Tamandua tetradactyla: one gene and its partners. The protein of the gene in region 1 interacts with the protein of each later gene in a biochemical or structural test. Links are inferred from orthologs where the notes say so. Each region holds a gene or a part of one and is shown in the gene's direction. Other genes may lie near its edges.

What was found.
Region 2: the proteins of MAPK9 (region 1) and JUNB form a complex in vitro, tested with the Homo sapiens proteins (2 studies listed by BioGRID). The link is inferred for Tamandua tetradactyla from reciprocal best matches to the Homo sapiens genes MAPK9 and JUNB.
Region 3: of the proteins of MAPK9 (region 1) and ATF2, one has a biochemical effect on the other in vitro, tested with the Homo sapiens proteins (4 studies listed by BioGRID and IntAct, with this or other methods). The link is inferred for Tamandua tetradactyla from reciprocal best matches to the Homo sapiens genes MAPK9 and ATF2.
Region 4: the proteins of MAPK9 (region 1) and MAPK8IP3 form a complex in vitro, tested with the Homo sapiens proteins (2 studies listed by BioGRID). The link is inferred for Tamandua tetradactyla from reciprocal best matches to the Homo sapiens genes MAPK9 and MAPK8IP3.

The regions. Positions count from the first base shown.
Region 1 is NC_135346.1:1,030,022-1,037,288, forward strand, and holds the start of MAPK9 (mitogen-activated protein kinase 9), read left to right. Parts: upstream 1-4,259; 5' UTR 4,260-4,396; intron 4,397-5,343; exon of another isoform or gene 5,344-5,828; intron 5,829-7,267. UniProt on the Homo sapiens protein: Serine/threonine-protein kinase involved in various processes such as cell proliferation, differentiation, migration, transformation and programmed cell death.
Region 2 is NC_135337.1:89,837,059-89,844,285, reverse strand, and holds JUNB (transcription factor JunB), read left to right. Parts: upstream 1-4,742; 5' UTR 4,743-5,043; coding exon 5,044-6,087; 3' UTR 6,088-6,706; downstream 6,707-7,227. UniProt on the Homo sapiens protein: Transcription factor involved in regulating gene activity following the primary growth factor response. Binds to the DNA sequence 5'-TGA[GC]TCA-3'.
Region 3 is NC_135329.1:147,335,232-147,342,674, reverse strand, and holds the start of ATF2 (cyclic AMP-dependent transcription factor ATF-2), read left to right. Parts: upstream 1-4,442; 5' UTR 4,443-4,527; coding exon of another isoform or gene 4,528-4,547; intron 4,548-7,443. UniProt on the Homo sapiens protein: Transcriptional activator which regulates the transcription of various genes, including those involved in anti-apoptosis, cell growth, and DNA damage response.
Region 4 is NC_135349.1:55,767,195-55,774,039, reverse strand, and holds the start of MAPK8IP3 (C-Jun-amino-terminal kinase-interacting protein 3), read left to right. Parts: upstream 1-3,829; 5' UTR 3,830-3,849; coding exon 3,850-4,176; intron 4,177-6,845.

The DNA.
Region 1 (7,267 bases):
AGGATGCGATATACCAGCAACAGAACAGCTTTTTAAAAAGGGAATTTATTAACTTGCAAGTTTACAGTTCTAGGGCCTTCAAAATGTCCAAATTAAAGCAAGGCTATGAAAATGTCCAAACCAAGGTATCCAGGTAGAGATACCTTGGCTCAAGAAGGCTGATGAAGCTCGGGTTTTCTCCCTCAGCTGGGAAGACACATGGGAGGTCTGCTAGTTTTCTCCAGATTTCTTCAACTGCTCCCCGGAGGTGTTTTCTTTCCGCATCTCCAATGGTCTCTGGCTGTGCGGGCTCTGAAGCTTTCTCCAAACGGTTCCCTCTCAAAGGGCTCCAGGAAGCAACCCCACCTTGAATAGGTAGAGACGCATCTCCATGGAAACCATTAATCAAAATGTCCCACCCACAATTGGGCGAGTGACATCTCCATAGGAGCAATTAAAAAGCTCCCACCCAGCAACACTGAATGAGGATTAAAGGACGTGGGTTTTCTGGGGAACATAATAGCTTCAAACCGGCACAGCTGCCCATCCCTGAAGCAATCACTGAGGACACCGGGTACACTGAGGGGCGACGCCTGGGGCTGGAGTGCAGGGGACAGAGCCCGCAACACAAGGGGGTTCTCCAAAGTCCTGCGGAGATACAGCTGCTAAAGAAGGGATGGGGCTGGGATGGCAAACACAGCCCAGGGCCCCAGCAGGGAGCAGGCGGCGGGCTGTGGGAGGTCTGTAGGGCGCACCTGGTCCGCCTGGGAAGCAGCCACCGAGGACCCAGGCCACCCAGTGCACCTGCCCACCTTCCTGCTGCGTCCTCAGGGGCCCCGACTGTCCAGCCCGCTGCCCACAGGACTGAGGCTCGGAGAAGGGAAGCCCCAGTCCAGAGGTGCAAGCAGGAAAGCAGGGCCAACAGCTCAGAGCCCAGGCCGCCTCGGGGGTGGGGGGTGGGCCGTGGGCCATGGGATGGAGCCCAGGCGGTCCCCGAGGGGGCGAGATGGGGCAATGGGAAGCCCAGCCCCGGACTGTGCATGCGGACCCGGGCGCCCCCACTGCCCACCCTCCAGCCCAGGGGTCGAGGCCAGAGCTCCCTCTGCTCTCCTTTCCCTTCCCTTCCCCGCCCTCCTGCGCCCTCCTCTCCTTTGCCAGGCAAGCGAGCGGCAGCGGTGCTCGGTGTCCGGCAGCTGTGGCATCACGGAGGGGCGGGAGCTGCGGGTTGAGGCGGGGAAAGGGAGGGTGAGCACCCCAGAAGCCAGGAAGGGCCCACGGCCTTCCCGGCAGGGAGCCCACCCAGGGGCCGCAAAGCCGCAGGGGAAGGGGCGCACGGGGGCTGGAAAGGGGCAAGCGATGAAGCGGGGATGCATGGGGCACCGTCAGGACCGCGGGATCGTCTGTGCGACTGCGACCACAGGTGCCTGCCAGAGGCGGGGGGGGGGGGGGGGGGGGGGGGGGGGGGGGGGGGTGGTTGCGTGGCTGGCGCGTGGCGGAAGCGGGGGCGGCCGCGCGGCGGAGGCCGGGAGTGAAGCCTGAGCCCTGAGTTAACACCGGATCAGTACTGCTTAGTCAATGGTAACAAATACCAACACTAATAAAGATGTTAGTAATCCAGAGACTGGAGGGTATACGGGGGCTCCCCATACTATCTGCTCAATTTTCTGTAAACCTAAAACTGCTCTAAAAAATGAAAGTCAACCAATTAAAAACAAAAAGGCCCTTTTTCATAAAATAATTCTTTGGTTTTGGCAAATATATACTCATATAACCACGACCAAAATCAAAATATAGACTATATCCATTACCCCAGAAAGTTCTCTCTTGTCCATTACTGTCAGTCCCTTCCTCCCACTCTGGCCAGCACTGATCTGACTTTCCTTTTTTCCCAGAATGTCATATAAACAGAATCATGGAGGATATCAGCTTTTGTGGCTGGTTTCCTTCACTTAGCATGTTTTTGAGATTCATCCACGCCGTGACCTTGTCAGCATGTAGTTCCTTTTGGTTGCTGTGGCGCGCTCCATTGTTTGGACATGCGGCTTATCTGCTCTCCGGATGAGGGGCACACGGGTGGTTTCCAGCTTTTGAACTGTCAGGAATAAAGCTGCTCTAAACAATCACGCACAGATCTTTGTATGGGCACATTTTTATTTCTCTTGGATAAATACCTAGGAATGGGATTGCTGGGTTGTAGGGCGCACATATGCTTAACTTTAAAGGAAACCATCAAACCGCTTTCCAAAGAGGCGGTGCCATTTTGCATTCCCGCCAACTGGGAGTGAGCACTCCAGTCGCTCCGTGGCCACAATACCAGTCGGTATCGTCCGATTTTTAAAAATTTTAGCCATGCTAAGTCGTGCTGAGCGGCACCTCACTATAGTTTTAATTCTCATTTACCTAAAGACTTGAATAGTTCTAAAATCAATTTCTCCCTCTTGGCACCTGCTGCTGTGGCCCCAGGGAGGGTCTCATGCTTTCTCACAACCCCAACTGGTCTGACAACCCTAAGTTCCTCAATGCCCCCTTCCCCCAAAAAAACCTCTCATGCCCCAGTGACTTTCCCAAAACAAACACCCAATCACATGACCCCTTCCTTGTGTAACACGTCTAGTCAGCTGGCTGCCCTTTGCCTGCACAGTGGTACTGCCAGCTTGAGGGGCCACCAGCAGCAGGTCTCCTCCAGGACATGTGCAGCCAGAGTGGGCACGGGGTGGGGGAAGGATTCTGTGCACCCCTCCAAGGCAGAGACCCCACCCCAACCTGTCACCCCAACTGTGCATCTGCAAATGTCACTGCATGTCATAAGGCAGAAAAAGGCAGTATCTTTGGACTGGATTCCTTATAGAAAACTTAGTGTGGAATGTGTGTGTGTGTGTGTGTGTGTGTGTGTGTGTGTGTGCGCAACGTACAGTGATTTCTGGCTCTTCCCTGGCATGGAGTGAAGGGTGCCCTGAAAGGTGGGTGCTGTAAAAGCAGGCCCCTGAGTGTTCCCGGGCAAAAAGGTTTTTCTGGTTTGCCAAAATACTTGTTTTTGATCATGCAAATATGCCTGAGGCCAAGTGGCAGGCAGGTCAGTGTGAGGTGAGGACAGGCCGCCTGGACCTGTCTCTCCTGTCAGCCTCGCTCTAGCAGGAATGAGCCGGTCACCCCTTTGCCGGCCAAGGTCAGGGGCCCGAGGCTCCCTTAGCTCCTCCATCCCACCCCTTCCCCGAGGCCTGAGACCCCGGTGCCATCAGCCTCACCCCGCCCGGGGTCCCCAGCCCCTGACTTCCCCAGAGGGCCCTGCTCCCAGCTCTCCAGTCCACGCACCGGCGTCCTATGACTGCTGCTTTCCCATTTACCGACCACCATTTCCTACTTGCCTGCCCCCAAAGTCAGCCCGCCTCCTCCCGGTATGCCCTGACCGCTGAGCTTTCTCTAAATTTGCCCAAGCTCCTCCCGGACAGGTCGCTCAGCCAGGCGCGATGGCAGACCCCACCGCCCGAGGTGCTCCCGCCGCCCGAGATGCACCCACCGCGGGAAGAAAACTCAGGCCTGCCAGTCCCCAGCGGGACGGCGGGGCTGTGGGAGACGCCTCCAGAGAGCTCCGAGCAGACAGAACCCGGCCTCCCGCGGCCCCCCCCCCCCCGCGCCCCCTCCCTCGGTATAAATCTGCCCCTTTGCTCCTCTGACACAGAGGCTGCCCCTTCGGACCTCCTTACCCCCAGCATCCAGAGCCCCGGCCCCGCCTCTCTCGCGTCCCTCCCCGGCCCCGGGGGAGCGTCGACGTCTGCGTCCCACCTCCTCGCCTCCTCTTGCTTTCCACCGCCCCGCCATGGCTTGTAGCCACGCCCGCGGCAAACCCGCTCCCGGAGGCCGCGCAGCGACCCACGTCCCCGCGCCTCTCTCCGCTCCTCGCTCGCGATCCTGGGCAGCTCCTGCCCTGTCCCCGCCGCCACCCGCCCGGCTCTCGGTCCGGTCAGCCTGTCGGTCCACCCTCTCGGCCCCATCCGGGCTCTGCAGAACCCGCAGGCGTCCGCACCAAGACCTCAGGCTCCGGGCGCGCGGGTCTCGGCAGGCGCCGCACAGACCTCGGGCGCCGGCACCCGGACCTCAGGCTGCGGGCCGCGCCCCAGGCCCCTCCCGCTGGCCTGGTCCGCCCCCGCGGCCCGCCCCGCGGCGCGATTGGCCGGGCCGAGTCTATTGGGCCAGGCTCTCCGCGCGCTGATTGGGCGGCTGGCGGGTCAGTCGGGCCCGGCGCCGCGGCGGCGGCGGCGCGGGGGGAGGAGGAGCGGGACCGGAAGGGGCTACGCGCCGGGCGCCCTCACACCCACTGCGGCGGCCGGGCCCGGGCGGGCTGCGGGGGGCGAGCAGCAGCGTGGGGCCTCCGAGCCGCCCGCCAGCCCTGTCCGTCCGGCGCGGCGGCGGGAGCGAGGTGAGCCTGCGGGGCGGGCGGGTAGGCCTGGCGGGGGCTGCGGCCCGGGGGCTGCGGGCGGAGGGCGGAGGGTTGCGGCCAGGGGCACGGGCCGGGGTCTCAGGCGGAGGGCTGCGGGGGGCGCTGCGGGCCGGGGGCTGCGAGGGTGTTGGAGGGCCGGGGACTTGGGGGTCGTGGGGCTGCCGGGGGAGCTGCGGGGAGCTGCGGGCGGGGGCTGCGGTGCTGCGCGGGCCGGCGCCGCCCTGGCCTCGCGGCTGCGGCGGACGCCCTTCCCCCGCGGCGGTCAGCACCCGGGGCTGGGGCCCGCTCCAGGGCCGGGACGCGCCGGGGATGAGGCTGGGGTGAGGTCCGCAGGTGCCCGCCTTCGGGACCGTGGGGCCCGCAGCCGCGCAGCCGCGCCGGGACGTGCGGGAGCCCGGGTCTCGTCACCGCGACCTTGGCCGAGGCGGGGCCCTCGCAGCTCCTGGATGTTCTTCTGGAGAAAGTAAGGGAACACCCACTGGCCTGGGCAGGGCTGTGGTCAGGTGTGCGGCTGTGTGCGGGCGCCTGGAGCGGTAGCCCCGCATGCTTGTGCACCAGTGGGAGGGATACAGCCTCCTGCTGCAGTGTGTGGCAGGAGACCCCCCCATCGCCCCCACTCCTCCAGTGCGTTGTCATTGCACACTCAAAGCCAGGCCACTCCTGAGTGTTCCCTGCCCAGCTGTCCTGCCACTCCCCCCACCCACAGCCCCTCACGTGCCTTTCCCGGGGCCTTTACACTTGCTGTTTCCCAGGGTTGGAGTTGGCTTGGGGTCTTTGCAGAGCTGGCCCCTCAGCATTCCTGCCTCTGGCCAGCATGAATAGCCTTCTTTGACCACCCTCTGTCTTCCCTTAGTCATTCTGTCTCCTTGCTTTAATTCTCTTCTTAGTTTACTCTGGTTTGAAACCATTCCATTTATTTGCTGCCTATTTTCTGTTTGCCTACTAGGATGTAGGCGCTGTGAAAACAGGTAGTTCTGTGATTTGTTCACTGCTGTCTTCTCAGTGCTGAGAAAGCATCCAGTGAGTAGCAGTGATATCAGTTGAGTGAATGAATGAATGATCTAAAGAGAGACCTGGCGGTGCCTCTGGTTCACCTGTCCTTTAGTAATTTCGGGCTAGCTAGTGGAACCTGGAAGCAGATGGAAGCCTGTTCTCATTTTGTGAAACATTTTCATGGCCTTGACCTCTTTATTTGGCAACTATTGGAGCAAGCTATGGATGGAAAAGCTACATATTTGTGTCTTAGCTTGAGCTTATTTTGCTACATGCAGGAGGCACTTGTGAGTTCCGTGTTATCTAGGTCAGGCTTTGTGCCGGTGCAGGGGACACAAAGGAGATGGTGGCAGGGTCCCTTCCCCCAGAGAGCCTGAGAACCCCAGAAGGAGCCAGGCAGACAGTTCCGGAACAGCGGGTAACTGCCGCAGTGGAGGGGCCGTGCTGTAGAGACAGGCAGGAGTGACAGGTGGTGATGGAGTCGGGTCTGGATGGGAGAGGAGGCGGGTGGGAGCGGTGACTTCTGCCAGGCAGCAGAGGCGCTCTAGATTTTTAAGTTCAGTCTCCTTGTTTTTATATACCGACAATAAGTAATTATACTCTTTTTTTTAATGCTTATGTTTATGTTAGCCAAGCTAAACATAAACCCCATGCAGCTTGTCGGCAGGAATTTCAGTCTGGGGACCTGCTGCTGGGGAGAAGCTGGAAAGCCGCCTGAGGCCCGGGGAGCTGGGCCGGGGTATTTCCTGCTGTCCCTGCAGCTCTGGGGGGAGCAGCCAGGACGTCCACACTCCCCGGGGAGAGGGTTGTCCCTGCTGCCTTGACACGGTGGCTTCCCACCAGGCAGCTGCTGGTGAAATCTGAATCCAGGTCTCCGGGCAGACCCAGTGGCCTTCCCACAGTCCCTTAGCTCTGAGTATTGTCTTCTGGCTTTTAATTGAATTTGTTGTAAATGACCCTTTCCTCCTTTAAACCTTTTGTTCTCCCTGCAAAAGGATCCTGAGAGGTTAAAAAGAATCCCGTTTGGCACAGTATTCTCTGGAAAGCTTTGGCATTCCTGAGAATTGAGTTTTCAGAGTGCCATGACTTTAAATAATTTATGGGGTCCCCAAAATGTTATGCCGAGTACACTTGAATTTCATGTTTGTCTCATTAAAGTAAAATTGTCATGATTTTCTGGATGAAGAAAAGTTCCAGACAGAGCAGTTAATAGAGTAGATACGTTCCCGTTTTCATGATGCATAGAGTAAAAGAGAAACTACTTTTTTTTTTTACTGTTTTTTAAAAAAGAAGAAACTACCTTTTCTAAGGTTCCAGTTACATGTAATTTTCCTGAAGAATAACTAAGTTGGTACTTGGCCTTCTGTAAACTGTGATAGTTTGTCTGTCAGGCTTTTATTTTAACTGTGTCTTATGGAGATTTTTAAACTTATATGACAATAGCTAGAAGAGTACCCAGCTTGTGCGGTTATCAGCTCACGCCCAGTCGTCTTTCCTCTCTCACCTTCCTTAATTTCATACCTTATACCTGTGGCCTTATGCCCTCCCCCTCATCAATTTGGTTTGTTGTCTCTAAGAGGTGAGGAATCTTTCTAACTTGAAAGAGCCATAATTCCTTAAATAATCAGATAACCAGTATTCGAATTTCCAGTTGTCCCGTGTTTTTATCATTTATTTCACAGTGTGTTCATTTGATTCAGCTAAGGTCATCCACATTTTGATTGTTTGATGTCTTTCAACTTCTTTTAATCTGTAGGTTCCTTCTCTATTCTTTTTTGTTGTTGTTTTCTTTGTAGTTTATTTCTTGCAGTTTGTCAGAGAGCTTTGTCGTTCTATAGTGTTTCCACATTTGGGATT
Region 2 (7,227 bases), on another chromosome or scaffold:
CCTCCATATAAGACAGCCCCATGCAACCCACCCCACAAACCCTAGACACACACGCAACCCCCCCACCTCCCTCCTACACAGTCACAGCAGAACAGAACCCTAAACTGACAGGCCCTACACACACCCCTGGAGGGTTGGGCCAACACACAAACACACACACACTGATGAAACAGGCCTCACGCACACCCGCACACACACACACACGCAGGCCAGCTGTGGGCAAACCCACAAGCAGAGCAGACGCACCCTGGACCTGTGCCAAGAGGCCCTGTGGGGCTCTGGGGCCCCCTCCCCTAGATCCTGGCACTTCCTCTCTCCACAAATTACCCCCGCCTTCCCTCCCTGCCTTCCTCCCTCTTGCTGTTTATCACTTCCCCCAGGAGGCCCAGCTCAGCAGCTCAGAAGTCAGACCCTGGTGGGGTGTGGGCCTGTCTCTTCATCGCGTCCCCTGTAAAGGGGGCACCGAGGATCTTCGCCATGCTCAGAGACCCCACCACCACCACCAAGACCTCACCAGCAGTGGGGGGAGACAGAACCAGCCCTATGGGAAAAGTTGCCCCATGCCCAGCTGAGTCAGCCCGAGGAGACCAACTCTATACTTCCTGCTTCCAAGAAAACCCAGCAGCTTCCTCTCCAGGAGAGGGGCTAAGGGGGAACTTCCTGAACCCTGAGCCCCCCCAGACCACAGGGATGGGGGAGGGAAATGGCTGGCAGACCAGGGGCTCCTGGGGTGGGGGAGGAGGGCCTCCGTGACTCTTCCTGCCCAGCTGCCTGTCCACACCCAGGGCAGGGACGCGGGAGGCTGGGTGCTGGGACTTGTGTTTTCTCGTCCTGGCCTGCCCACTGGCTGACTCACGGGCAGCCCCCAGCCCAGTTTCCTGGTGGGGGGCCCCGTCAGTCAGTGGGGCCAGGAGTGAGGGGGTCACCAAGCTATTTATAAGAAGCAGAAGTCCCTCATGCCCAGGCCAAAAGCCCCCGAGAGACCCGTGGGTGGGGGTAGGTGAACTTCCTCCTTATCCTGCACCCCCCACCCCCACCCCAGGCCCCTGGGTGTGGGGGAAGCCTGGGCACAAGACTACCCAGCCCCCTGCTGGTCTGGGCACTCAGACCAGGGGAGAGAGGGGGCCATCCTCACACCCTCCTTGTGGGGCTGGCCTTGGCGCCAGTGGGGCGGCATGAGGGGGTGGCACCCAGGCCACAAGGGTGAGACTGGCAGGGGCTGGAACCGGCTGGACCAGCTCAGCTAGGCCCCCGCCTTCCCTCACCAGCCCCATTCCCACCCCCTGCTCAAACACCCTTCCTTGCAGGGTGCATTGAGCGACCCCAACAGGCTGAGGTACCCCACACATACACTCCACGGCACGGCACCCTCTGGGCACCCATCCTGCACCCAACTCCTCCTCTCTCTGGATACAGGAGACCCTTTGTGAAAGGGCCTGCAGAGCTTGGCATACAGTTGGTGCTGCATAAAGGCTCCTTGCCCCCTCATTCTGATTCTCCAGAGCTCTGATCCCCTGCCTGTTTTTCTCTTGGGACCCTGGAGCCAAACTCTTTGGGTTATATCCCAACTCCACCCCTCATAACTGTGGGACACTGGGCAAGTTCTGGAACCTTCTGTGCCTCAGTTTCTCCTCTGTTAAATGGGGAGACCAAGAGACTTTATTTTGCTGGGTTGCTGCAAGCGTCTAATGACTGACTATACGTAAATCACTTAGAAGCACCATATAAGTGCTAGCTATTAAAGGGATAATTATTATTTCTCCATCTGTCTTCTTACCTGAAGTGTCTGGGAGTCTGTCTCTGTCTCCAGGACGCTAACCCTGCCCCTGTCTGTCTCCCTGCCCTGACCCCAACCCCCAAACACCTACTCTTCCTTGCTCCACACTCTGGGACTTGCCCTCTGTCCCTTGCTGGCACAGCTTTGCCCCTGCAGGGCTCTTCCCCACACACCTCACCCCAGGTCTGAGTTACAATTGGCCTATGGGACCTGCAGGTCAACTTCCCAAGGTGCTGCTGCCCTCTGGCCTACCCTGCCCAGCCCCCCCAACGCTGCCCGCTGCGCCCCCACCGGGCCAGATGTCAGCTGCAGTTATTAGCATGGGCGGGAGACACAGGCCTGGCAGCGCGCCGGTCAGACTCAGCCACCAGCAGCCGCCGCCGGAATCTCCCCGAGACTGGGGCGGGGGAGGGGAGCCGGTAGTGCAAGGGGAAGAGGGGTGGGGGGTACTCTTATGGGTGACAGGGACCCTTCAGAGATGGGGACGCCCCCAGCTTTGCATGGGATCTTCTCCCCTCCCTACCCCGCCAGGCTACCACTTTGCTGGACTTCCCCTGCCCCCATACAGCTCAGTTTCTCTTTCGGCTCTGTCATTTTCCTTCTCTCCCCTACCCTGGACCACCTCTGTGCCTGCCAGCCCTAGACTCTCAGCCTGCCTCTATCCCAAAAGGGCTTCCATCCTCCCAGAAGACAGAGTTTGGGAGGCTCAGAGAGGGAGCTGCTCTCCTGAGCAAGCCCAGCCTCCACCTCACCTCTCCCAGAGGTCCACACCCTAGGTGCTTGGAAGTCCCATCTTAAGTCTAACTAGAAGCCTCACTATCTGAATCTCTACCCAGTTTTCCTTGGGAAAGGGTGCTGTGTTTCTTCCCGTTCTCTCCTTGGATTTTTAGGTCCTCTCTGATTGTGGGGGGAGGTGTCCCTGTGGGGAGGGGGGACCTCCTCAGGAGGGAATGGAGACCCCCTCCAGGCATTCTAGATGGGAGATGGGAACCGCTGGCTAAGACGCAAGGGGAGCCCTAGCCTACAAGAGCCAGGGAGTGGCGCCCCAGGAGTGTGTGTCTGAGGGTTTGGGGGAGCGCCCAGACCTCCTGGCAGAGGGGAAGGGCACCCCGCCCGGAGGAAGGAGGCAGCAGTGCCAGCCCGCCCAGGCGCCGGGGCGCCTCCAGGCATTGCCCAGCCTCCTTGGTGCCCCGTCGGGCCGGGGGCGAAGTCCGACCCAGGCCCGCGGGCAGGCGGGGACCTGCCTGGCTGGACCCGGCAGGACGCGGCCCCAGAGCGGCTGGGCGGGGCGGGGCCGGGCGGCCGTCGGGGCCCTGGGGGCGGAGGTCGGGGCTGGTCGGGACTAGCCGTCCGGGGGCCCAGGGCGCCCTGGGACCTGGCAGATCCCCGGGCTCCCGGCTCCGGGCTGGGGGCCCCGGGACGGCGCAGGCCCCACCCCTTCCTGTGACCTTATATGGGCGTGGGGTGGGGGTGGGGGGAGACTCCAGGGGCCGCCCGGCACCCAGTCCTGCCAGCGGACTCCGGCCTGTTGCCATGGCGACCAGGCCCCGCTCCCCAGGCTACTCCCCGTTCGGTGGGGCCAATGGAACCATCCCCGCGTTGTCTGCCCGCGCCGCGGACGGAACCATTCCCGGAGCGGGGGGCGGTGGCACCGACGAGCTCGGCGCGGCCAGGCCTCGGCGGGGGTCGCGCGTCCGGCTTCTTCTTCCCAGGCGCGGAGCCCGGGCGGGGCGCACGGTCCCGGAGGATCCGAGTGACGGAGGCAGGGCCGGGCTCCTTCCCCGGGGGCTGTTGCCACACTTCCTGCCGCCACGCTCTTTCCCCAGCCTGTTTCTAAGGAAGGGAGTGGGGCAGCGAGGCCGCGCCCCAGCCGTCGGGCTGGGTCCCAACTCCAGGACCCAACACGGTGTCGGGCGACCACAGGGTCACTGGGGGAAGGGCATCGGATTGGGGACAGAGTATTGGGGTGCCACGGGTCACGCACTGGAGTGGGGGTTGGGGTGGGGCTCGAGTCATGGAACGCCCAGCACGTCCCGTTCCCAGGATCCTAGAAGCCCCCTCTCTTCCTGCTTGCCCCAGCTGGGGACCCTCCCGTCATTGTCCTCTAAGCTCCAAAGATGTGCCTCGACCCCTTTCTAACTCTAGTCCATCAAGGCTTCTCAGATGGCCCCTAATCCCCAACCTAGCCCCTCGGACAGGCATGTCTCATATTCTACTCCACATATTTCCCCAGACCCAAAATGTACCCCAAGACCCTAACCCACTTTCTATATATCTAGAGCCCCCAACTCCTTCCCCTCCCCACTTAAGGGGACCCTCAGACTCTGCCATGGACGTGAGGATCCCTACTAGTTCCCTGCCTAATGGGTTGTCCACCCCTTCCCCCGTGTGCCTGTAATTCTCTCCCCTCCTCTCTGGGCCTGCGTTAAGCCCCTCCTGTGAAAATTTCCTCTGCGATCCTCACTCAATTCCTGGGACAGGTATCTCCTTACTCCTCTGCATTTACCCTGTTTAACCCTCCTCTGCCTACTTTTTGGGTGCTCACAGTGTATTCTCAGCACCCCCTCCCCAACCCCTCTCTGACACTCGGGGTCCCTCAAACCTTTCCACGTTCGCCCTGGGACACCACCCCCACCCCAGCCTCGGCTCCTGGCCCTCGAATCTCTCCCCGGGTACTCCTGGGGAAGCATCGCCCTCCTCGCAGCCCCTCCCCGGTGTACATCGGGCCCCCTAGCAGCCCTGCTTCGCGTACCCCTGGGTCCTCCAGCCCCTCCCCGTGAAGCCGCGCCGCGCCACCCGGCCCGTGGCCGCTGTTTACAAGGACACGCGCTTCCTGACAGTGACGCGAGCCGCCTCCTCCCCTTCCCCACGCTCCGGGAGGGGGGCGCGGGGGCCCGGCTCTGGCGACGGCCAATCGGGGCGCACTTCCGCAGCTGACAAGCGTCGTATAAAGGCGGGCGGCTCCAGCCCAGCAGCAGGGACCTTGAGCGCGGCCGGGCCAGCGTCGGAGACAGCCGGGAGCGGAGGGGCAGTGGGAAAGCGAACGCCGAGAAAGCGAGCGCGCCCGAGGAGGGCGAGAGGGGCTTGGGCAGGCGGGCAGAGCTCCCGCGCACAGCCGCTGGCTGGCCGCCCCCCGCCGGTGCGGGACCCCGGGAACGCGCGTCCAGACACGCGATCCAGCCACCTCCGCGGACAGCGAGCAGCTCGCTGCAGCGAGGCCCGGGGCGGCCCCGCAGGGACCCCCCCAGCCCGCCCGGGCCGCCCGGATGTGCACTAAAATGGAACAGCCCTTCTACCACGACGACTCGTACGCGGCGGCAGGCTACGGCCGGGCCCCTGGCGGCCTCTCCCTACACGACTACAAACTGCTGAAACCCAGCCTGGCGCTCAACCTGGCGGATCCCTACCGGGGCCTTAAAGCGCCCGGGGCGCGCGGTCCCGGCCCGGAGGGCAGCGGTGGCGGCAGCTACTTTTCCGGCCAGGGCTCGGACACCGGTGCGTCGCTCAAGCTCGCCTCGTCGGAGCTGGAGCGCCTGATAGTCCCCAACAGCAACGGCGTGATCACGACGACGCCCACGCCGCCGGGACAGTACTTTTACCCCCGCGGGGGCGGCAGCGGCGGAGGGGCGGGGGGCGCAGGGGGCAGCGTCACCGAGGAGCAAGAGGGCTTCGCCGACGGCTTCGTCAAAGCTCTGGACGACCTGCACAAAATGAACCACGTGACGCCCCCCAACGTGTCCCTGGGCACCAGCGGGGGGCCCCCGGCCGGGCCCGGGGGTGTCTACGCGGGCCCGGAGCCGCCTCCCGTCTACACCAACCTCAGCAGCTACTCCCCGGCCTCTGCGCCCTCCGGAGGCGCCGGGGCGGCGGTCGGGACCGGGAGCTCGTACCCGACGGCCACTATCAGCTACCTCCCTCACGCGCCGCCCTTCGCCGGCGGCCACCCGGCGCAGCTGGGCCTGGGTCGCGGCGCCTCGGCCTTCAAGGAGGAACCGCAGACCGTGCCCGAGGCGCGCAGCCGCGACGCCACACCGCCGGTGTCCCCAATCAACATGGAAGACCAGGAGCGCATCAAAGTGGAGCGCAAACGGCTGCGGAACCGGCTGGCCGCCACCAAGTGCCGGAAGCGGAAGCTGGAGCGCATCGCGCGCCTGGAGGACAAGGTGAAGACGCTCAAGGCCGAGAACGCGGGGCTGTCGAGCACCGCCGGCCTCCTCCGGGAGCAAGTGGCCCAGCTCAAACAGAAGGTCATGACCCACGTCAGCAACGGCTGCCAACTGCTGCTCTCGGTCAAGGGCCACGCCTTCTGAGCGCCCCCCCTGGACGGACACCCACCCACCCCAGCCTGGACGGCTGGGTGCACTCCTCCCACGGGGGCGAGGGGACAGGCGGTGGGCACCGGCCCCGGGGGCCTTGGGGACGCCGCCAACCACACTGGACTCCCGCCCGCCAGCCGGCGCGCTGCTCCCACTCCATCCACCTCGAGGTTTACAGACTCCGAGCTCCACGTTTATTATTATTATTTTTTTTGTATTTTTTTTTTCTGCTGGAAACAGACTCAATTCATATTGAATATAATATATTTGTGTATTTAACAGGGAAGGAGGGAGGGAGGGGGCGACCGCGGCGGAGCTGGCCCCGCCGCCCGGTACTCCAGCCCGCGGGGACACTGGGGAGGGGACCCCCGCCCCCTGCCCTCCCCCCCAACTGCATCGTACTGTGGAGAAGAAACACGCACTTGGTCTCTAAAGAGTTTATTTTAAGATGTGTTTGTGTGTGTGTGTGCGTTTGTTGTTCTGACTTTTTATTGAATTTATTTAAGTAAAAAAAAAAAAAAGGTTCTTTATTAATTTCTGGAGTCATTTTTTTCCCCCCAATGTCAGGAGGGAGGACGAGGAGGAGGGAAGGGGAGAAGGCTGCTCCCCCAGTGCTGTGCGTGGCTCGCTCCGCATCTGTGCCACCCTCCCCAGCACGGACCCTGTCTCCGGCCCTCCCCGCGGTCCCGGGTCGCGCGCGGGAGGGGCGGAATGCGCAGGCGCGGGAGGCGCGATTCGCGCAGGCGCGGCCCCGCCCCGCCGCGCGCGCCGGGGCTTTCCCCGCTGACGCAGCGGAAGAGCTGCCCATATATGGGCCGATTCTGCCCAGTGACGCGCAGGCCGTCTCCGGGCAGATTCCGGGAATCCCCTCCCCCGCTCTGCCGGGCAGGGCCGCGGCGCCGGGAAGGGGGCCGGGATTTTCCCAGGCGGGCCGGCTACTCGGGCCCGGAAAGCCCCAAGCCGGGGTCCAGCGCACCCGCGGTGGGCGGGCCTCGCCCTTTCGGGTTGGCGCCGCGCCGCGCCCCCCCCCCCACCCCGCCTTCTCCCTAGGACCCGACCCGGGCGCGGGGGCTGCGGCAGTCTCCGCGCCGTTGCGCCGCCCTGCCCCGCCACCCCCGCCAGGAAGGGCGGCGC
Region 3 (7,443 bases), on another chromosome or scaffold:
AGATTAATTGAAAAATCATTTGTCTAAAAGTTTAAATATGTAGTTCATGCTTTCTGACTTTAAAAATAAAGAAAATCATAAGATTAGGTATTAGTTAAGCCTTAGGACAATGTACATTTAAAGTCAAAGTAAAACATTAAAATTTGTAATAAGCAACAGATACTATTTGGGTGCTGTGTACTGTACTATGTATTTTACATGTATTATTTTAATTTATTCTTTTTTTATATCTCCCAAACTGGTGAATTCATGTTTTATTTCTTACTGGAGAGGTTCTTAGTGAAATTATATCATGTAAATTTTTCCTAAAAAAGGTACTCAAATGTAATTTAACCTTGAGAAGAAGGAATGAAGTCCTACTAACTCATAGGTTCTCAATCTCCTGGGTTTAGGTTTGTTTTTATGATCATATTGCTGTTCCAAAGGTGGGCTCTAGGATCATTTAGCTTGCTTTTGTGGTACTTAACTACAATATAAGAAGGAAATTATAGCACGGAGAAAAATGTGTCTATAGGGTGCTGTTGCTTTGAAGCCATGGGACACTAGCCTATTCAGCTAACGGCACCTTAAAGTTTTTGTTCACTTTATTAGTTTTCTCTTGCTGCCTTACAAATTACCCTAAATTCAGCAACTTAAAACACATATACAAAAACAGCTCACAGTTTTTATTTTTGTTTTTTGATCTCACAGATTTTGTGCATTAGAAGTTCAGGTAGACTCTGCTGCATCCTCTGCTTAGGATCCAAACAGGGCCAAAAGAAGGATTTGACAGTTTTGTATTCTTTATAGAAAGCTCTGGGGACGAATGTGCTTCTAAGCTCATTCAGTTTGATGATTGAATTCAGTTCTTTGTACTTGTGGAATTGAGGTCCCCCTTTCCTTGTTGGCTGTCAGGGAGTTGGGGAATGGACTGGTCTTTGCTCCTAGAAACTGGAATGCTTCACATCTGGCACCCTCCAGTAATGACGAGTTGAATTCTTCTCATGCTTCTAATTTCTCTGACGTCTTTTTTTGAATTTGTCTGACCCCTCTCAGAGAAAGGTCTCTGTTCTTAAATTCTCATGTGATTAGATTGGGCCCATCTCTGTAATCCAGGATGATCTCCCTATTTTAGAATCTGTAGTCTTTTTACTTAAGCATAATCCCTTTTGCCATGTAACAAACATAAAACATATTCACCAGTTCCAGGGATTAGGGGATGGACATCTTTGGGGAGCCATTCTGTGTAGTACATTCATATTCCTGAATAGAAATTTGATAAACTTTGTATCCTTACACATTTCTAAGTTTATTTCTAAAAGTTTTCATCACATATTTAAATAGTTACAAAAAGTAGATTTTGTACCTTTTCTAAATAATGGCACCACTCATTTATAATTAAATACCAGTGATCACATACTGTTGTTTTTTTTTTTAAAAACTCAAATGAGTTTATCTTCAACAGTTGGACATTTTTATGTTCCTTTTTCTTATTTAACTCCTATTTTCTTTCCATTTCTCCAACATAATTTTATTTGAATCCAGTCTGTGTTTATGTTTTAAAGTATTTTGTTGATAACCTTTTCATACTCTGCTGTATATACATTTTTTTTGTTTTTCAAAGTTTGGATGATAATCTAATGTTGCGTGTGTAAGACAGGCCACATACAGCTGGCTTAGTCTGGTTTCATTTTGTTTGAGGTGAAGATAAGACCACAAGTCCATCTCACTGTTTTCTAACAATGGATTGTTTTGTCTGTTCCTGATCTTTTTTAAAAAATATTTTTATTGTAAACAACAAACAAAAAATACAAACATTCTTGGCATACAAACATTTTTGACATGGTTATAATCAGTGGTTCACAATATCATCACATAGTTGTGTATTGATCACCATCATCATTTTTTTGAACATTTGCATCTCTCCAGCGAAAGAAATTAAAAAGAAAAAACTCATATATACTATACCCCTTACCCCTCTGTATTAGTTAGAGTTCTCTAGAGAAACAGAATCAACAGGAAATATTCATAAATATAAAGTTTATAGAAGTGTCTCATGTAACTGTGGGAACGTAGAGTCCAAAACCTGTAGGGCAGGCTGTGAAGCTGATGATTCTGATGGAGAGTCTGGACAGACTCCACAGGAGTTGTTGCCGGCCACAGCAGGAAGAGAGCTGTCTCTTCTGAATCCTCCTTAAAAGACTTCCAGTGATTGATTAGGTTAAGCATCATTCATTAAAGAAGACATCCCCCTTGGCTGATTACAAATGGAATCATCTGTGGATGTAGTCAACATGATCATGATTTAATTCTATGAAATGTCCTCATAACAGACAGGTCGGCACTTGCCAAACCAGACAAACAGTTACCACCACCTGGCCAAGTTGACACATGAACCTGACCATGGCACCCTCCCTCTTGTTGACCATTAGTATTTCAATCTACTCAATTTATTTTAACCTTTGTTATTTATTAATTTCTTATCCATATTTGTTACTCATCTATCTATACCATAGAACATCAGACACAAGATTTTCACAATCACACAGTCAGTTAAAAAGCTGTATCATTATACAATCATCTTCAAGAAACATGGTTACTGAAACACTGCTCCACAGTTTCAGGTACTTCCCTCTAGCTGCAATAATGTACCATAAAGTAGAAAGGAGATATCTGTATAATGTGTTAGAATAACCTCCAGGATAACCTCCCAACTCTATTTGAAATCTCTCAGCCACTGACACTTTATTTTGTCTCATTTCTCTCTTCCTCCTTTTGGTCGAGAAGGTTTTGTCAAGCCCTTGATGCCAAGTCCTAGCGTCCTAGGATTTCTGTCCCATGTTGCCAGGAAGGTTTATACCCCTGGGAGTCATGTCACATATACAGGTGGGGAGGGCGGTGAGTTTGCTTGCCATGTTGGCTTAGAGAGAGAGAAGTTTTTGAGCAACTGTTGAGATAACAACACAAACCTTTCCTTACAAATAAGTCCACTGAAAGCCAATACCTAGAAAATAAACATTTATGTGAAGGAAATAATTTGCAGAAATTTATCTCTACCTAGAAGATGTTCAGTTTTACATTGTCCCATAGAGCTGTTTGTCCTTTGAATTGCTACTCCGTTTATAGTCTCCATTTTACGTTTGTATAACTAAATGTCCAGTTCAGAAAATTTTGCCTTTAGGAAACAGGAGTCTGTATATAAAATAATTTTGTTGTCAGCTTGAAATGAGTATCTTTTTAGCTTTTGGCATTCACATAAAAATTTCAAACTGTTTCCCTTTAGCCACTCTAATACACCATAAACTAAAAAGGAGATATCTATCTAATGTGTAAGAATAACCTCCAGGATAACATCTTAACTCTTTGAAATCTCTCAGCACTGACACTTTATTTTGTCTCATTTCTTTCTTCCCCCTTTTGATTGAGAAGGTTTTCTAAGTCCCTTGATGCTGAGTCCCAGCTCATTCTAGGGTTTCTGTCCCATGTTGCCAGGGACAGGGACACCCTTGGGAGTCATGTCACATGTAGAGAAGGGGAGGCAGTGAGTTTGCTTACTGTGTTGGCTGAGAGAGAGAGAGGCCACTTCTGAGCATCAAAAGAAGTTCTCTGGGAAAGACTCTTAGGCCTAGTTTTAAGTAGGCTTAGCCTATTCTTTGTGGGGATAAGTTTAATAGAAACAAACCCCAAGATTGAGGGCTTGGCCTGTTGATTTGGTTGTCCCCACTGCTTGTGAGAATATCAGGAATTCTCCAAATGGGGAAGTTGAATTTTCCCCCATTCTTCCCATTCCCCCAAGGGGACTTTGCAAATACTTCTGTATTCACTGTACAAATCCCTCTGGGATTTATCAGGACATCACACTAACTTGGACCAACCTACAAAATCTCATGCCCTGTCCAATGTTCCATGTACTGTGGTCACACTCAGGATTTTGATGCTGAGATGCAGCACTGCCTTTTCACCTAACATCATGCCTTCCTCCTTACCCCCCTATCTATCATGGTGAAAAACTTCGTATATCTGCTGTGTTTCACCAAGGTTCTATTGTCTTACTTCCCTCCTTGAAAGTGTCATTCCTTTGATATGTTGCATGTGCAAGGAGTTATGAGAGGCCACAAGATAAATACCTTCCTTGAGCATTAAAGATTTTGGAGGGAACATATTATATTAAAAAATAGGGAATGGAAGGGAAAATTAACATTTTTTTTTTAAGATCCAACTTCTACCTTTTTATTTAAAACTTTAATTTGGTACTCTATGTACAATTCAGAATTTCCCATTTTAATCACATTCAAGTGTATAATTCAGCGGTATTAATTGTGTTTACAATGTTACCATGCATTTTAAAATATAGAATAAGGAAAATACTTTTAAAACTTCATAGTGCAGTTGTACTGCATGAGGCTATTCTTTTAGATCGTGCAGGTTAATGAGTTCACTCTTTTCTGCCTATCCTTTGCCCTAAGGATACTTAAATGGAAACTTTGGAAGCTCTGCTTATTTGATAAGAGAGGAGTGATTCCTGGCAGCAGAGTGAATATAAAGCTCATGGCCCACCAGCCAGAAAGGTAAGAGATTTTAAATTTTATTTTTTTAAACATTAAAATATTTATTTTAAGGAATTGGCACAGATGATTGTGGGGGCTAGCCAGAAATTACAGCAAGAATTAATGTTGCATCAACGAGTACAGCAAAGTGGCAGGTTACAAGATCAACATTCAAAAATCTGCAGTATTTCTATACACTAGTAATGAACAATCGGGGAAATCAAGAAATGAATTCCATTTACAATTGCAACTAAAAGAATAAAATACTTAGGAATAAATTTAACTAAAGAGACAAAAGACCTGTACAAAGAAAACTACAAGAAACTGTTAAAAGAAATCACAGAAGACCTAAATAGATGAAAGGGCATACCGTGTTCATGGATTGGAAGACTAAATACAGTTAAGATGTCAAATGATTTACAGATTCAACGCAATACCAATCAAAATCCCAACAATTTACTTTTCAGAAATAGAAAAACCAATAAGCAAATTTATCTGGAAGGGCAGGGTGCCCCGAATTGCTAAAAATATCTTGAGGAAAAAAAACGAAGCTGGAGGTCTCACGCTGCCTGACTTTAAGGCATATTATGAAGCCACAGTGGTCAAAACAGCATGGTACTGGCATAAAGATAGATATATTGACCAATGGAATCGAATAGAGTGCTCAGATACAGACTGTCTCATCTATGGACATTTGATCTTTGATAAGGCAGTCAAGCCAACTCACCTGGGACAGAACAGTCTCTTCAATAAATGGTGCCTAGAGAACTGGATATCCATATGCAAAAGAATGAAAGAGGACCCATATCTCACACCCTATACAAAAGTTAACTCAAAATGGATCAAAGATCTAAACATCAGGTCTAAGACCATAAAACAGTTAAAGGAAAATGTACAGAAATATCTTATAAATTTTATAATTGGAGGCGGTTTTATAGACCTTACACCTAAAGCAAGAGCACTGAAGAAAGAAAGAAAGAAATGGGAACTCCTCAAAATTAAACACTTTTGTGCATCAAAGAACTTCATCAAGAAAGTAAAAAGACAGCCTACACAATGGGAGACAATATTTGGAAACGACATATCAGATAAAGGTCTAGTATTCAGAATTTATAAAGAGATTGTTCAACTCAACAACAAAAAGACAGCCAATCCAATTACAAAATGGGAAAAAGACTTGAACAGACAACTCTCAGAAGAGGAAATACAAATGGCCAAAAGACACATGAAGAGATGCTCAATGTCCCTGGCCATTAGAGAAATGCAAATCAAAACCACAATGAGATATCATCTCATACCCACCAGAATGGCCATTATTAACAAAACAGAAAATGGCAAGTGCTGGAGAGGATGTAGAAAAAGAGGCACACTTATTCACTGTTGGTGGGAATGTGAAATGGTGCAACCACTGTGGAAGGCAGTTTGGCGGTTCCTCAAAAAGCTGAATATAGAATTACCATACGACCCAGCAATACCATTGCTAGGTATCTACTCAGAGGACATAAGGGCAAAGACACAAACGGACATTTGCACACCAATGTTTATAGCAGCATTATTTACAATTGCAAAGAGATGAAAACAGCCAAAATGCCCATCAACAGACAAGTAGCTAAACAAACTGTGGTATATACATACGATGGAATATTATGCAGCTTTAAGACAGAATAAAGTTATGAAGTATGTAACAACATGGATGGACCTTGAGAACATTATGCCGAGTGAGAATAGCCAAAAACTAAAGGACAAATACTGTATGGTCTCGTTAATATGAACTGACATTAGTGAATAAACTTAGAATATTTTGTTCATAACAGTGACCATCAGGAGATAGAAATAGGGTAAGATATTGGGTAATCGGAGCAGAATGGATACAGACTGTGCAATAGGACTGGATACAAAAACTCAGAAATGGACAGCACAATACTACTTAACTGTAATACAATTATGTTAAAACACTGAATGAAGCTGCATGTGAGAACAATAGAGGGAGGAGGGCTGGGGGCATAAATGAAATCAGAAAGAAAGATAGATGTTAAAGATTGAGATGGTATATCTAGGAATGCCTAGAGTGTATAATAATAGTGACTAAATGTACAAATTTTAAAAATGTTTTTGCATGAGGAAGAACAGAGGAATGTCATTATTGCAGGGTGCTGAAAATAGATGGTAATTAATATTTTAAAATGTCACCGTATGTGTGAGACTAAAGCAAAAAATGTTTATTAGTTAAAAAATTTTTATTTTGACTAGTGCATCTCGTAATACAACTTATGTAGATAGTTTGATTGAATGCCATAAGTACCTGGAATCTCACGTAGGACATGAGATTTTGCTGGTTTGTCCAGAGTGATGCCCCAATGAATCCCAGAGTGATTTGATCAGTGAGTGGAAAAGTATCTGCAAAGCCCCCTTTGGGGAGTGGTGAGAACAGGGAGAAATTCAACTTCCCCAAGTTGAATTCTTGATATTCTCACAAGCAGTGTGGACAACCAAAGCTGCAGGCAGAGCCCCCAGTCTTGGGGTTTGTTCATATGAAACTTAACCCCGCAAAGGATAGGTCAAGTCTACTTAAAATTTAGGCCTAAGAGTCACCCCCAAGAGAGCCTCTTTTGTTGCTCAGATGTGGCCCCTCTCTCCAGCCAACACAACGAGCAGTCTCACCACCCTACCCCTCTCTACGTGGGACATGACTCCCAGGGGTGTGGACCTTCCTGGCAACGTGGGACAGAGATCTTGGAATGAACGGAGAGTCAGCATCAAGGGATTGAGAAAAACCCTAGAATGAGCTGAGATTTAGCATCAAGGGATTGAGAAAACCTTCTCGACCAAAAGGGGGAAGAGTGAAATGAGACAAAATAAAGTGTCAATGGCTGAGAGATTCCAAACAGAGTCGAGAGGTTATCCTGGAGGTTATTCT
Region 4 (6,845 bases), on another chromosome or scaffold:
TAACATGAAGGAAGGGTCTCCTGGGGGCAGCTTTTGGGAAGGGGACCCATGAGGTCCACACCAAGTGGCAGAAGTCACTTTGACTGTTGAAGTCATGTGGAAGCTGGGTGGGTCGCCTTCACTGGCCCTGCTGCCCAAGCTCCGCTTCTTCCCCTTTCCATTTGTCCTGCCAGCTTCAGAGCCAAGAAATGTCCACTGCCTCCAACTTCCAAATAGTTTGCCTCTCACAGTTCTTTATAGGGAAGTTTTTTGGAACACAGCAATTTTCTCTCCATTTGAGAACAGTATCGTAAATGGCTGTTAGCTTTTCAAGCCCAAATGCACTAATTTGTGTAACTTATAACGTCATTGGAATGTTTTAATGATGGAAATGAACTGCCGTGTATAACCATGTTTTTGATGAGGAAATGATTCACGAGTAGCACGTTGGCTTACCAGGGAGAAACTCGACGTTACAGGCTCACCCTTGTTCTCTGCCACGCCCCTGCTGTCATCTTGTGGGAGGAAGTGCTGCCCGTTCTTGCCCTGGCCGGGATCTGTGCACTGGGGATTGTTGATGCTTAGTGATGATTGGGGATGGGGAAGCAAAGATGGGAGCAGTCTTTGGGAAGTAAGGAAAATGTGGATGACAGAACCCCCAGTCAGCAAGGATGGAACTTTCCGCCTCCCCTTTCTCCTTCCCGTCCTTTCCCCCTTTCTTCTCTCCATTAGGGTGCAGGAACAGGGTTCAGCCTGTCTGGGTGGTCCGTTCACTGGGAGAAGTGGAAGAACTGCATAGAGCACGACCAGTGGCCGTGGTACTGGGAAGGCAAGCGCCACATGGGACCATCTGCACTGGGGAGATCTCAAACCTCTGAGCTGCCTTGAGAAATTACTAGTCTGTATTTTTATTAAGCCTTAAACCTTTTTTTAGTGCATTTGGTGCCAACATTTTTCTAGAGCTATAACAACCAAAAAAACCTGTACTCACATCTCAATGTAATTTTGATAGGAACATTGTGTTATTTTTACAAGGCAGAATGGGGTATAACAGTTGAATTAAACTTAGCAATCAAGAACTTAAAATCTTTGCTGTGTGTGTGTGTGCTTTCCTTAAACGGCCCAATCTCCATGTTAATTTTCTCAAACATGGATTTAAGGTTTTTCATTGAAAACATTTAGCTCTGAGTAGAATGACTGGGACCGTGCTAGTGGTGTTTCCAGTTTCTGTATGCTACTGTAAGAAATAGTAAGATTTCTGTAAGAAATAGTGATTATTTCTTCTATACCACTTGTTTTCCTAAAAACAAAGTACTGGACTTGCTCCTGAGAGTTGGGTTTGTCAGACCCATATATAGAGAGAAGGATTGGATGCCTTCCCTCCTCATTTATCTTCCCTTGTCCCAGAAGCAGGCTTTATGTCCTTACCCACAGTACATGGATTCAGGGTGATGAATCGTTCCAGCCCCCTCTATGAGGACAGAAAATCAGAAAGAAGCCAGGCATGGGTTATGAAACACCCATCTTCATTTGCTTATCCCCATGTGATTTGCAGTAGAGGGCAGCTAGAAATAACCTATATTAGCAGCAGCTGTTGCAGTCACAGGTGAGCCGAGGTCTCAGGTCCACAGCTTCTGTCTCCAGAGGCATGGCAGTGGCTCCACCTGTGTGGGGGTGAGGGCCTGAATAACAGCCAGTCGGGGGTGCACCAGCCATGGGTAACGTGCTTTTTGTGGGGTGCCTCAGTCAAACCTTGCACTGCTCCCGCTTAATCACATCCAGAGTTGACCACATCTTCTGGGCTCCCCTCTTTATTTTTTCCCGTTCTTAATCCTTAGCATTCTTAAATGGTAGCACTAGTGAATTTTCTGTTTTATGAGTGGCTGCAAAGCAATGCTTTGTAAACTTCAATTAAAAAAAAAATGTTACAGGGACTGAGGTGCCCTTTTCAAGCATGAGAGGCATCCACTTAGAAATCAGCAAGTTTTGAAACTTGCCCATGTTTCATATAAAGGATCTTGTAATGAGGAAAGAAAAACCTGAATCCCAAACTATCTTTCAAGATCAGAGAACTATGTATCTTGAAACTATCTTTGAAGATCAATCTAAGTCTAGTCTATTAGGAATTCCCTTAGATTGAACTTTCTTTGCACTATCTGGTAAGCAGCAAGGATTCAGCAAGTCATCTTGTTACGTTTTGTTTAATTTTAATGCAGTTTCAAGCAACAAATCTGCCCTGGTCCTGAGCCATCAAAATAAAGCTGATGGCCCAGTCAGTGGCTCCTTGTGGCCGAGGTGACTGTTCCTGCAGTAGCATGCTACTTCAGAGGGTTCAAAAGGGTTAAATTTCTGCAAAAGGCCCAAGGTGGAAGTTTTTCTCTTGCTCACCAGGGAGAACTAAATATATTTTATCCATTTGTCCTGCTGCCTTTTGAGAATTTCAATTCGTTTCTACCTAACATTGAATGCACGCTTACTATCTGCTAGAAATAGAGCTAACTAAATCTCTTGTGGGTTAATTCACTTAATCTACCAGTGTTCACAGTACACTAGTATTTTTTGGCTGTTTTGCAGGTTTGGAAATGAAGACTTGGATTCAGTCACTTGATTAGGATCAAAATCCAGACAGTCTGCGTCTGAAACTTGAGAGCCTCATATAACCTACCTCTGAGTTGAGCAGGTGAACATGTATACAGTAAATTGTGTTGCAAGGATAAAATCTGTAGAAAATATAGTGTGTGTTTAGGGGTGTCAATGACAGAAGAATTCCTTGTTTGGGTGTAACTGGGATATGATGAGGGTTCGCATTGGCTCTGAAGCATTTCAGAAGGTGAAAGGGGAGCATTTAAGCAGGCACTGATTTGGTTTTTGACCAGAATTCACAGCACCTATGTGGCCTACGTAAATCCCAGGCTGAAAATGTTAGTTGTGGGTTCAAAGAGCCCCCGATGCCCTGCAAAAGAAAAGACAAACCCTGCAGAGCAGCTCATTTTAAAACAGCCACAATTTCACAGATGACGTCCCATGGAACACTAGCTAGAGGGGGCTGGGGGAGGGAGCCTGAGCAGAATGCAGAATCAGACCTGAAAAATTTGGTAATGGAACTCAGATACCAAAAAAAAAGCGCTTAAACTGTAAGGAATAAGCGCCTATAAGAACTGGTAAAACATAAGAAAACCAAATGGGGCAAATAGAAAATTTAAAAGTAACCACTGAAATGAAAAATGCAATGGACAGGTAAAATAAGACAGCAGAAAAACGAGGATCTGAATAAGTTACACAAAAAAGCAGGGCAGAAACAGACTAAGCTACAGGATTTTAGGGTGGGACGAACTCGCATCTGGTTGGACGCAGAGGTGTTCTTAAGAAGCGGTGGGCCGCGCCGTGGGGACGCGCAGCTCCGCGGTCACGCTGCACCGGTGCTCAGAGGACCGCGGGCGCCGGGCCACGGCCGCCCTGGAGAGAAGCGCCGCCGCGGGGCTTCCAGGGACGTTCCTGTTTGTAAACGGGGGCGGGCTGAAGTCCAAGCAGAACCGTTTGGGAAACACCACACGCCCCCGGTCTCGAAGCCCGGGCGGGTCCCCGGGCGGCTCCACCGGAAACACATCCTGCCCAGCCCAGCCGAGTTTCCGCCCCCGCCCCCCGCGAGACTCGCGACACCCGCTTCCTCTCACGCTGGGCGACCCCTGGCGGCGCCGCGCGGCGGGGCTCCGGCGCGGGGGCGGGACTTCCGGCGCGGGCGGGGCTTCCGGCCAGTGAGTGACGGGCGCGGCGGCCGAGCCTGAGGCGACAGCGGCGGCGGCGGCGAGGACCTGCTGCGGCCTGCGGACCCTCGCGGCGGCCGGACGGCGGGCCGCGCTGGCGGCGGCGATGGCCGCGATGATGGAGATCCAGATGGACGAGGGCGGCGGCGTGGTGGTGTACCAGGACGACTACTGCTCGGGCTCGGTGATGTCCGAGCGGGTGTCGGGCCTGGCGGGCTCCATCTACCGCGAGTTCGAGCGCCTTATCCACTGCTACGACGAGGAGGTGGTCAAGGAGCTGATGCCGCTCGTGGTGAACGTGCTGGAGAACCTGGACTCGGTGCTCAGCGAGAACCAGGAGCACGAGGTGGAGCTGGAGCTGCTGCGTGAGGACAACGAGCAGCTGCTCACGCAGTACGAGCGCGAGAAGGCGCTGCGCAGGCAGGCCGAGGAGGTGCGTGGGCCCGCGCGGCCGCCCCCGTCCCCCCCGCCGCCCCGCTCCCCGCCCGCCCCGTCCCCCCCGCCGCCCCGCTCCCCGCCCGCCCCGTCCCCCCCGCCGCCCCGCTCCCCGCCCGCCCCGTCCCCCCCGCCGCCCCGCGCCGCCCGCCGCCCCACGCGCCGCCCGCCGCCCCACGCGCCTCCCCTTCTCACCCCCAGACCCCGGGGTCACCATCTCCGGCCCCTCCGCCGCCCAGGAGCGCCGCGGGTGTCGGGAGCCCTTTTCCTTTGTTCCTCACGCAGCATCTGGCGGGTCTGCGGCTTGAGTGGACCAGGTGGTGGACATACCACGTCACGAAAGCCGCATCGGGTGAAAGACTCGGGTGGGGAGGTGCCCCTTGGCTCCCTGCGGGGGCGACAGAGTTGGCTGTGGGCGGCCAGGGGCTCCGCCCTGGCTCTGCAGGCTTTGAAAGGTTGGGTTGTGTTGTAGGCCGCCTCCATTGCCTGGAAATCGGCCGGTTTGGGGCCAGCTGTGTGCGAGGGAATACCAGCAGCTTCGTTCCTTCACCACCGAATACTTGAGCGTGGTCACTCGCCCGACCTGCGGCTTTGCCCTTTGTGGAGGACAGCAGAGTGAAGGGGGGTGGGGGATATGGGATTCCACCCCTGCCTGGCCGCAGACCCCCTCTGTGACCTTGGCCGCTGGCGGGCCTGCTCCCGGCTGGGATGCTCCATCAGTCAGATGAGCAAGTTGCCCTGGATGGACCCCCGCCTGGAGGTGCTGCTGTGGCAGGAGTTAGGGGGAGCGCTTTGATTTACGGAGAGGAGGTGTCCTGTCAAATGAGTTCAGATTCCCTTGTCATTCATGTAGCACATTCCTGACTTCAGTACTGAAATGAAAGGTTGCTTCAGTATTTTGAGTTTTCCTTAAACCCGGTTTACACCCTCATTTGACTTAAAGTTTATTTATAGAAAGGAACAGTGTCTTGTACTGTTCCTATTTAGTGTGGTTTATTTTGCTCTGGGATTTCCTGTTATCTGTCAAGAGGCTGCTGCTGTCTGTTGATGGGGGTGCCCAGGTGCCACCAGAGCTGAGCTCAATCTCTCAACGTAAGGGCGTGCGATAGCGCAGAGAACTTCAGAGCTCAGAGCAGCCTGGGCATTTTCCGGGGTAGGAGCCACCCGAGGAGTGGAGGGACCCGACCAAGGTCACACACTGCGGGTGAGCAGGACTGGGCCCTGGAGCGAGCCCTGACTCCCAGCTTGACACTTCCTCCTGTCTCAAGCTCTGGGGATCAGAGTACCATACCTGGGCACTGGGCACTGCCCTCCACCTCTCTCTCGGCTCTAGTGCCCATTTGATGCACAATGGAGGTTTCAGATTGGTTTTTCTTCCTTCAGTAGTGGGTGAAAAGGAACTAAAAGGAGAAAAGTCAAAAGGGACAGTCTTGTAGCTAAGAATCATAGCTTTGCTTTAAAATTAGCTGTACATAGATCAGGCTTTCTCTGCTCTGTGCACTTCACATGCAACCTCTACCAAGTGTGCTTTGCCCTCCTACTGACCCTCACTGCTGGACTGAGAGCTGTTGGGTGTGCGTGTGTGGTTGGGGTCTGAGAACCAGCACTAGGGCAGCTATTCAGAGAAGCTGCCCAGAGAGCTGCATGAGCAGAGAGCCGTGAAGAAAACACATACTTGGCTAGCAGCCTCAAGGTTTGGGTTAGATGCTGGTAGTATGTCCTTGGGAAGACCTCAAGTGATGTTACAGCTACAGAAATGCTTGGCATTCTAAGTCACTGTTAAATCAACCGGACATGCGTTTTAGTTCTGTGGGAAAAGACCACCATGGCACTGCGGACCAGCTTCTTTCTCCAGACAGAGAATTGTGATGACGTATTTATGTGTCTGATAACAAGGGCTAGAGTATTGCAAGCTCCAAGATGTTGGCGTTGCAGACTCCTCCCATATGAGCCCTAGCCGGAGCCTGTCCCCAACCACTCTGCTCAAGAAGGCTTAGTCAGAGGAAGTAACCTGAGCTGCCTGCAGCCTCTGAGCAGACAAAATCTGCAGATTTTCATAAAAAGAGAGAGAGAAAGCCTTCAGCAGGGCAGACATGCCTGTCCCTATTTCTTTTTGCCTGTAATAACTGCAGTTAGAAATTGCGAGTATGTTCTGCTACCAAGTGGCTAGTTCAGTGGGACTTGTGGTAACCGGAGACCATGTGGTCCACACCTGGTAGCGCGGACGCTGAGTGTCAGCCCTGCCCTTGGGTCTCAGAGCCCAGGGGAGTTTCTTCCCCACTCTGGCCCACACTGACCTTCCCTGTAAAGTGCGCAGGTCGCCAGAATGGCGAATGGTTCATCTCAAGCGCCAACTCCGACCGTTGGCCTCTGGTTGCTGGGAGAGCAGTGCCAAGGTGGATTTAGTGGTATCAAGGCCCAAGAAGCAGGGTCCTGATAGGTTCCAGGGAGCCTTCCTTGCCAAGCCTCTGGCAGGGAGTCTCGATGCGGGTGTCCCAAGTCCAGGCATCCAGTTCTGCCCCTGTGTTTGAGAACGGCAGGTCCTAACACAGCTCGGCACAGGCTCACAGAGCTAAATGAACCTGTTTGGGGCTTCTGAAATTTCCACAGAGATCTTAAGACATGTTTGAGCTTTGTATCCATTAAAAAGTTTTGTTAAAAATCCAG